Linked DNA regions of Drosophila melanogaster. The protein of the gene in region 3 purifies or fractionates together with the protein of the main gene of each other region. This does not show direct contact. Each region holds a gene or a part of one and is shown on either strand. Other genes may lie near its edges.

The links.
Region 1: the proteins of D12 (region 3) and Ada2a purify together in Drosophila melanogaster (affinity purification with mass spectrometry; 3 studies listed by BioGRID, with this or other methods). This does not show direct contact.
Region 2: the proteins of D12 (region 3) and wds purify together in Drosophila melanogaster (affinity purification with mass spectrometry; 3 studies listed by BioGRID). This does not show direct contact.

Annotation. Positions count from the first base shown.
Region 1 is NT_033777.3:18,253,346-18,257,096, forward strand, and holds the start of Ada2a (transcriptional adaptor 2a), read right to left. Parts: upstream 2,143-3,751; 5' UTR 2,036-2,142; coding exon 1,972-2,035; intron 1,892-1,971; coding exon 1,030-1,891; intron 972-1,029; coding exon 209-971; 3' UTR 111-208; coding exon of another isoform or gene 1-110. Other genes in the region: Polr2D (RNA polymerase II subunit D), read right to left, coding at 1-110, 1,972-2,035; moi (modigliani), read left to right, coding at 2,271-2,467, 2,527-2,866; Tgs1 (trimethylguanosine synthase 1), read left to right, coding at 2,863-3,751. UniProt on the Drosophila melanogaster protein: Component of the histone acetyltransferase (HAT) complex ATAC; predominantly involved in acetylation of histone H4, including at Lys-6 (H4K5ac) and Lys-13 (H4K12ac).
Region 2 is NC_004354.4:2,583,975-2,587,725, forward strand, and holds the start of wds (will die slowly), read left to right. Parts: upstream 1-2,005; 5' UTR 2,006-2,304; coding exon 2,305-2,575; intron 2,576-2,786; coding exon 2,787-3,412; intron 3,413-3,466; coding exon 3,467-3,655; 3' UTR 3,656-3,751. Other genes in the region: CG13760 (uncharacterized protein), read right to left, coding at 318-421, 489-628, 693-961, 1,024-1,233.
Region 3 is NT_033779.5:8,435,723-8,439,473, forward strand, and holds the start of D12 (D12), read right to left. Parts: upstream 1,644-3,751; 5' UTR 1,454-1,643; coding exon 563-1,453; intron 506-562; coding exon 1-505. Other genes in the region: Chrac-14 (chromatin accessibility complex 14kD protein), read left to right, coding at 1,783-2,169; mus201 (mutagen-sensitive 201), read left to right, coding at 2,654-2,741, 2,805-2,980, 3,050-3,751.

The DNA.
Region 1 (3,751 bases), on a different chromosome or scaffold from region 3:
GAAGACCTCGGAGAACTCTTGCTCCTCGTCGGCGGATTCGTTTTGTCGCTTTCGGTGATCGAGAAGCATGTGCACCTCCGATATCAGCAGCGTCTCGGCATTTTCGAACTCTGAAACAAAGAGAAACGAAAGGGTTTTTTTTTCTTGAATTAGTTACTTGACGACATTCAGGAAATTTACAAGTGAAACATTGGAGAAAAAATTAGCCCTAGCCATAGGACGGTGGTCTGCTGATATGGCCATGTTCCAGCAGAAAATCGTAGATCTGACGCGTTTTGTTCACGTCAATTTTGATGAGACGTCGCGCATCGGCCAGTCGTAGATATCCGAGCTTTGCTTGCTCCGTAACGAGTTGATTCTTGTAGTCCAAATACGACTGCGGAACCAGACGAGCCACACTGCACAACTTTCGCTCGCCATCATCCAGTTTGGAGTAACCAGGCAGATCTGGGATCAAAGAAAAATTATATTCAGTTGGTGTCAGGCAATGAGTAAAGTGTTTCCCACCTCCAATCTCAATGGGACTGGCCTTTCGACGCGTGTTCATCACATATAACTTTGAGTTAATGGCCAGGGGACCAGGATCACCGCTCCTGTTGCTCTCGTAATGCTGCACCAATTGCTGCCAGTCGAAAGCATCTGTTTGCTTCAGCCTGCTGTAATCTCGCTGAGCCTGCTGACGTTCTTTGCTCAAGCGGGCATATAATTTGGCTCCGGAAAGAGTTCGAACGCCGTGCTCCCGCAGATCGTATAGCTTGTGCAGCTGGCTATGCAGCTCCCGATAATAACGCAGAGACTCCAACAGCATATCGAACTTAATGGGGTCAGGACAGATCTGCATGAAGCCCAAGAAACGCATGCAACTCGCATCGCTGCCAAAGGCGTGCACGTACTTGGAAATCCAGCTGACGGTGCGATTGGGCATTATGAGACCGTGTTGCCTCATTATCTTGTAACGACGCTGGCGCTCTCTGTGAGTAAATATGCATATTAGATTTTTTTTAGTAGCTTTCTGTTATAAGATCATACCTGAGGCGATTGTTGTATGCCCGAACTAGTCCGAGTTGCAATTCCTCTGTCACTTCGCGCTCAAACTCACTCTCAGACGCCTCGTTGTCGTCATCCCTGCCCCTATGATCCACCATAATAGATAGCAGACTCTCTGCTGAGGTGTCGTACGGAGTATCGAAGTCTCCTCTTGCACAGCGGTAACCTGCGCTTAGTCTGAACTGCATGGAGGCGATGTCGTCATGACGTGGTGGATCCAAGCTGCGCATTTTGAAGACATACGGCATTCGCTCGGGCACATAGCTGTCCCTCGCATGCTTCAGATTAAGGAGCCGCTCGAATATCCCGCCAAAGTAGCAATCGTGGTAGTGACGACGCACTTCTGCGGGTTCGTGGCGCTGGTCCAGAGCCTGGGAGACCGCCTCCCAGTTGCCATAGCCGTGGGTGCGAAGTGTTTTCAGCAGTATGCGCTCGTCCCGTGCCGTCCAGTGTGGCTCATCGGCGAAAACCTGTATGTTGTCGCGGACTATGATGTAAGCGTGGTTATTGCGGTGAGAAAAGGCCTCCTTTCCACGTGAGAAACATTGCAGGCAGAGCAGGGTGTCGAGGCACTCGGAGCACTTAATGTACGGCTCTGTGAGACTGCAGCGACATGTGGCACACCGATTGGCATCCTTTGTAGCCGATGGAACACTGCTATTCTGGTCCCGCGTCTTTTCCTCCATCTCCTCCAAGTACCTGTGCAACGTGTGCGGATTATACAAAACCATGGAGTTCCTGGTGTGTTCATTCTGATGTGCATGGATGAACCGCTTAACCTGTGGCCCCAGTGGCTCAACTGCAAAGAGGCAATTCAGTGTGGTAAAAATGTGGAGGAGTGCCACTTTTGGGGCACTCGAAGCCAAAGGTTTCAGCCAGTTTCACTTGTAAGTTGCATTTCGGTTGGTGTAGGGCGTTGGTTACCTTTGGGAAACTGCAGGTCGGCGGCGTCCTCATCCACCATATCCACGGGGTTCATAAAAGACATAGTGAGCTAAGAACTGCTCAGTTTGTTAAAGTTTATATTAAGAAATTCTAATTTGCACAATAAAATGTCGCTGTTTTTAGTGATGAGAAAGGCAGGGCTATAACTGGCGAAGAAGCTATCGATAGGTGGGTCGCATCGTGCGTAGATACGTTGGTCACACTAGCAAGCATGTTGAGTTTATCATTCCGGGTGTTTTGATTTTGTTCGGAATTCTTGGTTTTTTTCCAAGAGAGTTATGTCCCTGGTGCCAGAAGCCTCTACCTCGAGAGCGCCCAAGTACTGCTACTTCTTCAAGACCCTGCTGGTGGAGGAACTGGAGCTGGAAACTTCCTACCACAACCTGCACTACGGTCAGTGCGCATTAATTGGACGTCTGGCGTTCAAGGCGAATCAGTACCGCCTAGAAAACGTGCGCGTTAAGTGTTTGCCAAAGTAAGTTTTTCTATATTACCTATCCATCCGGTCCTTACCAATGATGCTGCATCTTTCAGGAAGTACTCCTTGGGCGAGGGCACCGTATCCTTGCTTATTCTTGGCCTTACCCATGACAAAGTCGTCGAAAATCGCGTGAGTACCGGCCGCTACTGCATTGTGCGTGGTGAAGTGGTGCTACATAATGTGCAGCATCCCAAAGGTGCCAAACTGACCGCCGGCGGTGTCTACGACAAGATCAATAGTCTGTCCAACGATCCGTTGGCCCAAAAACAGTATCTCAGCGCGCTACTTGCCACCTACAGACCGGCCATCGACTTATGGTACATCCAGGTCATCGACAGAGCCGAGGACTTGCTGACTCGCAGGCTGGAGATGAGAAGTCTGATCGAGAAATGAACACACACCACCTGACCACCTCGCGAACCAATCCGCAGTTCTATATATTCAGTCAGCTCTTTGGTAACGATTTCGACTGGAATAATTGCAATTGGGGGGGCATTCAAAACGTTACCTGGAAAGAATTCTGGCAGCGTGAGGGGCATGAGCTGCTCGAGCAAAAGTGGCACAAGCGGTTTCCCGAATACAAAGATCTTATCGAGGTGGTTTCGTCGGAGGAGCAAGGCCTTTGGCAGGAACTGTGGGAGAAGCACGCCAGCGATTACAGTGAAAAGTTCTGGTATATATTTAGCTGTGCCTTTGAGAACTACCAACACGATTTGGCCAAATCATTTGGCCTTGACGTCGCTGAAAACTCAGAAGATGTTGAGGAGGACTTGCAGAACCTAAGCCTTACAAATAAGCCAATAAAATCGAAACAGCAAAGGGTCACAGAGAAAGAGGAGGACGAATCATACTTGACTGCCAACGACGATCCCGAGGATTGTGACGAGGAACAACAGCTGCGCCTTCTCGGATTGCCAACATCATTTGCGTCGAAGGCAGATATAATTAATTATAGAAAGGAAAGAAAGACACAGTACGAACTATCTAGCAGCGATAGCGAGGACGATCATGATCTGTTGACCATGGAGAACAACGAAAACGAGGCTCTGCACGGCGTTCAGAGCGGTTCTGTTAAAAAGAAAAAACGACGGCAAAGGCAAATAAAAAAACTCAAGGCCAGGATGCCAGAGTGCATGCAAGAGGATAACAACAAAATGGTCAAGTACTGGGTCAAGCGATTCTCGCTGTTCTCCCGCTTCGATCAGGGCATTCGGCTGGACCGCGAGAGCTGGTTCTCGGTGACACCCGAGAAGATTGCCAAACAAACGGCCCGACGAC
Region 2 (3,751 bases), on a different chromosome or scaffold from region 3:
ATGTACGAGTAGACGCTGCCTGGCACGTTTACATAAATATAATTTTGTAATTGTTTTTTTTTGTATGGGGACCAACTGCTAACAATACCTAAATAAAGTACACTGTTGTGCCAAAGTTAACCAGACAGCTTTTTCTCTTACCTCCCACTCGAAGTCCCCCCCTACAAGGTCTCCTCCTAAAGTCCTAATATCACAAGCGCAGATTCCAATCATCCGTTCTCATCACCTGGCAACCTGGCGACGGCAGGTACTTCTGTTCATCTGTTCATCAATTCATCTGTTCATTTGTTCATCTGTTCCGCTGGTTTATCCATCTACTACTCCCTAGTTTCCTTCTTCTCGTATATGAAAATGATGTCCTCGTCCGTGCCGTAGGCGCGTCGGGCCGTGTCCATGGACTCGATGAGGCAGCGACAAATGTCTGTGGAACGCAGCCAAAAACGAAAATCAATGAATTTTCAAGGATTGCTACCAAATGGAATACTCACGGCCATCGTGGACCTCGGGATTGTGGTAGAAGAGCTTCTGGGCGGCCATGTCATATCCGCAGAGCACCACATAGTGTCCGGCATACCTTTTGGGTCCATGGAGGCGTGTATTTTGAGCAATGCAGGGTATATGAAAACAGCTTTTCATTCGAGTGTGGATTTAAGGTGGTTTTTTGTGAATCGCCGGTGGCAAGAGGAACTCACCCGAACTTCTCTAGGACATTGCGCTTGCACACCTCGCACGTGAGCAGCGAGGCGTTGGTCAGCAGGATGACGGGTCCGTGGCGGGCCAAATGCCGCAGAATGACCTCCATGTCCACGGTGCGCTGTTCAACGCGCAGTCCATGGGCCCGGGCGTCCTTGAACTTGCGCGTCACGCGCCGTTCGTCCTTGTCGATGATCTTGGAGTAGTACGTGTGCTGCGCGTAGTTGGGATCGATCCCGAGCGTTTGGGTGAAGTACTCGTGGCGCACCTGGCCAAGAAGAGAGTGTCAAAGAAGTGAGCGAATGCAAATGTGCATCACGGCATGCCCACCTGGTAGCGCATCAGCAGATAGCACAGGTCGATGGTCCAGGTGCTCGAGCCAAATCCCTCCTCGCCGCACACGGCATCAAAGTTCCCAAGAAGCTGTTCCCTTTGCTGCGCCGACAGGATCATAATGATGCAGGACAGACCGCAGTCCCAGTTGTAGCGCTGCTGGTAGTGCGTCAGGTTGTAGTGCTTGCTCGGCGGCAGTCCGTTCATTCTGGCCAGCAGCTGGGCTCTTCTTGGCTTCTTGTGCTCCTCGGGTCCTCGAGTCCTTGGCTCCGTGTGCTTCGCGTGCTCCTGTGCCCGCGGCTGCGCTCCTTTGATCCTGGCGTCCAATTGGAAACTGAACTGGGAATGTTTTGGTCTAACAGCTTGGGCCAGTGTGGCCAGGTGCAGCTGTCTGCGGAATGCCAACTGTCGGCTATGTCCAGTTGAAAAAAATGCCAATTGAATTTTTTTAGATATATATTGTAAATATTGTAATTAAATAATATTTATACATAAATTGTGAGTCGCCAAAGGAGTTAGATGTATTTTCCTACAAATCTTGGTTGCTGCTAGGAAATTTTTGGTTTGAAATCTTAAAGGCGCAAAAAATGTTCTAACACTATGTAAATCCTTCTTAAGCCCTTCAAAATTGACAGTTCAGTTAGAATTACCTGCAATTTTAAGACTAAATAACTACTGGCAATTGGTATAAATTTAAATGCAACTGTACGCGAAACTTCAAACATGTATGAAACGATCTGGCAACGTCGAGCTAACTGCATGCAATTTGGCATCGATGTGCCCGATGCACTCCCCCTGATAGTTTCAGCGGGAAACTAAGAGTCCCATTCTAGAATCATCCCCCAAGGACGAAAACATCCCAAATCTCCCTAAAAAAAAAAACAAAAAGCAAGGAATCGAGTAAACACGTTCCACCACCGCTGTGGCAATCCGTGGCTGGTGCGCAACGGCCACACTGACGCGCTGACCAATTTTTAGTTATTAGTGTGACCTTAAGCATTATTATTTTCACGTGTGGCACGCAAACGAGCCAAAAAACCAAGCGCCTATTTAAACAAACAAATCACACGCCCAGCAGAGAGAGCAGCCGGTGACCACCGGTAACGGGAGTAGCTGCAGTTAATCCGACAGGCCCAACAAATTCGCCCGCTAATTGGCGGCGTTTCTCTAGTCGGAACAACAAGAAGAAGAAGCACGTGTGCGGCGTGCCAAAGAAAAAAGGAAAATAAACAAGGAGGCCAGGCCAAGGAGCATAAGCAGAATCCGCATCCGGAGGACATGGTGCCCATCGGAGCCGTGCACGGCGGCCATCCCGGCGTAGTGCATCCGCCACAGCAACCACTGCCCACGGCGCCCAGCGGCCCAAACTCGCTGCAGCCGAACTCGGTGGGCCAGCCGGGGGCCACCACCTCCTCGAACAGCAGCGCCTCCAACAAGAGCTCGCTATCCGTCAAGCCCAACTACACGCTCAAGTTCACGCTGGCCGGGCACACCAAGGCGGTGTCGGCGGTCAAGTTCAGTCCGAATGGCGAGTGGCTGGCCAGCTCCTGTAAGTACATACATCCCTATCCACGAATATCTGGGGGGGAATTTTATGGTACTGAACTGCTATTGGACTGAACAGGCAGCTTTGGCAGCTCAGTTAATGGGAATTGGGATGAAATAAGATCTCGGAAAAGAGAAGAAGCATTTATAGAATACATATTGTACATTCCATACATACAGCACATGCCTATTAAACTTCCACTTCTAACCCTCAGCCGCTGATAAACTAATCAAAATCTGGGGAGCATACGATGGCAAGTTCGAGAAGACCATTTCGGGCCACAAGCTGGGCATCAGCGATGTGGCCTGGAGCTCAGACTCGCGACTCCTCGTGAGCGGCAGTGATGACAAGACGCTCAAGGTCTGGGAGCTGAGCACCGGGAAGAGCTTGAAAACTCTGAAGGGCCACAGCAACTATGTGTTCTGCTGCAACTTTAATCCGCAGTCCAATCTGATCGTCTCCGGCAGCTTCGACGAGAGCGTTCGCATATGGGATGTGCGCACCGGCAAGTGTCTGAAGACTCTACCCGCCCATTCCGATCCCGTTTCGGCGGTACATTTCAATCGCGACGGATCGCTGATCGTGAGCAGCAGCTACGACGGCCTCTGTCGCATATGGGACACGGCCAGTGGACAGTGCTTGAAAACCCTGATCGACGACGACAATCCGCCCGTCAGCTTTGTAAAGTTCTCGCCCAATGGCAAGTACATTTTGGCCGCCACGCTGGATAATACGCTCAAGTTGTGGGACTACTCGAAGGGCAAGTGCCTGAAGACGTATACGGGTCACAAGAATGAGAAGTACTGCATATTCGCCAACTTCTCGGTGACGGGAGGAAAGGTGAGTTCATATCTTATGCACATTTAGGCTTTAACTCACAAGCGTCCATTGTAGTGGATCGTGAGTGGCAGCGAGGACAACATGGTCTACATTTGGAATCTGCAGAGCAAGGAGGTGGTGCAAAAGCTGCAGGGACACACCGATACCGTTCTGTGCACCGCCTGCCATCCCACGGAGAACATCATTGCTTCCGCGGCGCTCGAGAACGACAAGACCATCAAGCTGTGGAAGTCGGATACATAGAGTGGCTGGTATCCAGCTGGAGGACGTTCGATCGGAACACACACATACATTTCTTGGATAATATTATTTTAAAGCGAACAGCCTAATCGTAATTGT
Region 3 (3,751 bases):
TCAGGGGCTCTGAAACCAACACAGTTGGTTCAATTTTCTCAATGTCGTCGCTGAGTTCAATTTTGTTGATACCAGCAAACAGATTGTCATCAAGTTCCTCCTTATTTTGAGTGATTGAAATGGTGCGCGGTTTGCATGACTCTCCAGGAAAGGCGAAAACCGAAGGCTCTAAAACATTCGGAGCAGCCAGAGGTGGAGCAGGAACTGCAGTCTCCTGTTCATGGGGAGGATGAGGTTTGCCGCTTTTCTGTTTCGTTATCGCCTGTTTTGCTCTCAGCCATATTTCCACAGTGGTCTCTGCGCCCATCGTGTGCAGTCCACACATTGTTTTATCCAGCACCACCGTGTGCATTAGTTGCACGGGTTTCTGCTGCAAGTGCTCTTGGAAAAATAGCTGGATGCGCATCGGAAACTCGCCCCAACCATGTCGGTTAAGCTGAAACGGAGACCTGTGCACGTCCACGATGTCGTTTGGGCGGTATGACGGATGGAGGTGGAAGCGCACCTAGAATTGCGAAGAAGAGATTGAATCACTCCGTACGTGCTTATGGGAATTACTTACCTTTTTAATGTATTTTTCAAGTGGTTCAGGTAGATCTTTGCCTTGCACATAGACCAACCACTTATAGGTCAAAGCATTCCCACCTGTGCCATTCTCTCGAGAGTCTTCGCCAATGTATTTGGAAGTATTACCCACCACGAAGTTGAATTTGTTCTTGTTATTCAGCCGCGAGGCATTCAGCTCCACTTGCCTTTCGTGGGCCTGTCGGCTGGTGCACGGCTGCTCGTCCTCCAACTTAACGGAAATGGGAGGTTCCTGCTCTGGCTGATCTTTTTTGTCCTTGGAGTGATCGGTTACGATGCCCTGCTCCTTGATCTTCTGTTGCCGCCTTCGTTCCGCCCGACGATGAGCCGGATTCCTCAGTCGGATGGTTTCTTTGGCCAAGGTGGCCGCCGTGCGCTCTGGCAAATGATTTTGGATGACAACAGGGCGCTTGCCAACGATTTTTTTAATGGCTGGATGCAGTGGCAGCTGCGGAGCGGCTATGTCGTCCCCAAAAAGGCTGTCGCCGCGCACTTTCGCAATATCCGCGCCGGTGAGGGGGACCTGCTGCTTTCGGTAATATTCGCTGACCACCTGATAGCGTAGTCTGTCCAACAGTTGTCGTCCTTGCAGCAGTCGTCGGTCGATCTCGGCCAGCTGCTCGACCTTCTGAGAGATTTCGCGCTGGAACTCCAGACGAAGCAGCTCCCGGATGCGCTGAAATTTGTCGGACAACGGCAGCATGCCATCCGACTGTTCCGTCTTGGTCCACTTTCTTTGACCGGGCGACTCGGCTTCTGCGCAGGTTTCTTCCTCATCCTGGCTAGAAACTTCCGTTTGCTGATAATCTGGATCGTGGTACTCGCTGTGCCTGCGTTTTTTTGGCGGCGTCGCTTGTTGCTGGTCCATGTGCGTGGTAGCTGGCACACGCACAGGACTTGTATCACGTTAGTTCGGAGGGGAACAGCTTCAAGTTTGGCCCGAATCGCTCCGTGCACATTTAGGCCGGGGTAATTGGCTGTTATTTATAAAAATGTGTAAACAATTGATGCGAACGAGGCGGCGCAAACAGAATTGAGTGGGGGAGTTGCCACATCGCTGGTGTAGATGCGTGCACGCTGGCCTTGTCCAACACTGTTCAGCCAGCTGTTTACTCTTTACGCGGGAAGCAAAGACGCCGAAATCTAGACGGAAAATCAAAAGTGCCCACCAAGTAAAAGCAGATAAGCAGCAGCAAAATGGTCGAGCGCATCGAGGATCTTAACCTGCCGAATGCCGTGATTGGCCGGCTCATCAAGGAAGCACTGCCGGAGTCAGCTAGTGTCAGCAAGGAAGCGCGAGCAGCGATCGCCCGAGCGGCATCTGTGTTTGCCATCTTCGTGACATCCTCGTCGACGGCGTTGGCCCACAAGCAGAACCACAAGACCATCACGGCCAAGGATATTCTACAGACCCTCACCGAGCTAGACTTCGAAAGCTTCGTGCCCTCTCTGACGCAGGATCTCGAGGTCTATCGTAAAGTGGTCAAGGAGAAAAAGGAGAGCAAGGCCAGCAAGAAGGATTCCAACACTGCCGAAAATGCCAACGCCAGTGCCACCGCAACAGCAGAGGAAGCCCCCGAGTGATTACGAATAGGAGAAACTATACGGATCAATTATCCTCTTCAGTCATTAAGAACAAAGCTAGTATTGAGCATTAACAAAAAACATTAAACATAGGCATTATCTAAGAACTTCACTTGTGTTTTGTCACTTTCCTCAAAGACTAAATTATGTTGTTAGTCAACGTTTACATGGGATTAATTTGGGATTGTAAGTGACGGTTGGAATTACACCCTTAAATAATGCCGCATTTCAATCCAGTCCGATCTAGTTTTTTACGCCTTCATTCAAAGTATATAAAGGTGTCAGAATAATATTTAAGTATTTCAGTAATTATTTGTTTATATATGTGATCAGAAAATCACTGTTTTAAAAATCATCCAGATAGATAACCGCGTGTTCTTTCCAGCACTGGAAACAGCTGTTTAAAAAAGCGCGTCTTATCGCAACAAAAAGTTTAGTTAGTTATTATTTTGCATGTTTTATACAATTAATATTTTAGTAGAAAATGGGAGTTACGGGCTTGTGGAAGCTCATTGAGCCGTGCGGCAAGCCAGTCCCCGTAGAGACTTTGGAGGGCAAAATCCTAGCAGTGGGTAAGCATCGTTTTTCGCCACCTAATGAAATACTTGCTGATTGGAGTACTTTTCGTCCTGCAGATATATCGATTTGGTTGCATCAGGTTGTGAAGGGCTTTCAGGACAACAAGGGATCGGCCCTGAGTAATGCCCATTTACTGGGTCTATTCCATCGTCTCTGTAAATTGCTATACTATCGTGTGCGACCGGTTTTCATTTTCGATGGATGCGTGCCGCAGCTTAAAAGGGACACTATTGTGAGTTATAATAGGGGAATATATCAAATTCACTCTCTAAATTAAATCCTCTTTATGTCACCCCTTCAGGCACGTCGCCAGCAGCAGAGGAATAAGCTCAGCAACGAAGCTGATCGCATTCAGGCTTTGCTCCTTCAATCCCTGGCCAAAGAAAAAGTAGTGCAGCAAGCGCTGGGCAAGAATGCAGAGCTACTGTTGAAATCCCCGGTTAAGCGACCGCCTCCAGCTAAGAAGAACGACGAGGATGACTTGTTTAAGCTTCCCGAACTGCCGGCTGCATCGGTGCAAGATAATCAAGATGAAAGCGAGCAGGACACCAGTGCCAGTGCCTCAGACAGCTCCTTTGACGAGTCAACCGCTCGACATTCTTACAACTCTAGCTTACAGGCCATCGATGTAAAGAGTCAGCATTTTCGGAATCTGCCAGCCGATGTGCGACACGAGATCCTTACAGACATCAAGGAGACGCGCAAGCAATCGTCGTGGGGCCGTCTGCACGAGTTGCCCGCCCGCAGCGATGACTTCTGCTCCTTCCAGATGAAGAGACTCCTCAAGCGCCGAGCCGTTCAGGAAAGCTTAGAGCAGGCGGAACAGGAGATGGGCGGACATACGCTTACCTATGCAGAGTTGTGTGACTTTTTCAATGAGGAGGGCATTCTCACCCCAACGGCCATTGAACAGTGCACCCGACAAATTAGCTCGGATGAACATACACGATTCCTGCTGGTCAGGGATCTTAAAAAGAAAGCAATGGAGAGCACCAAACAAGAG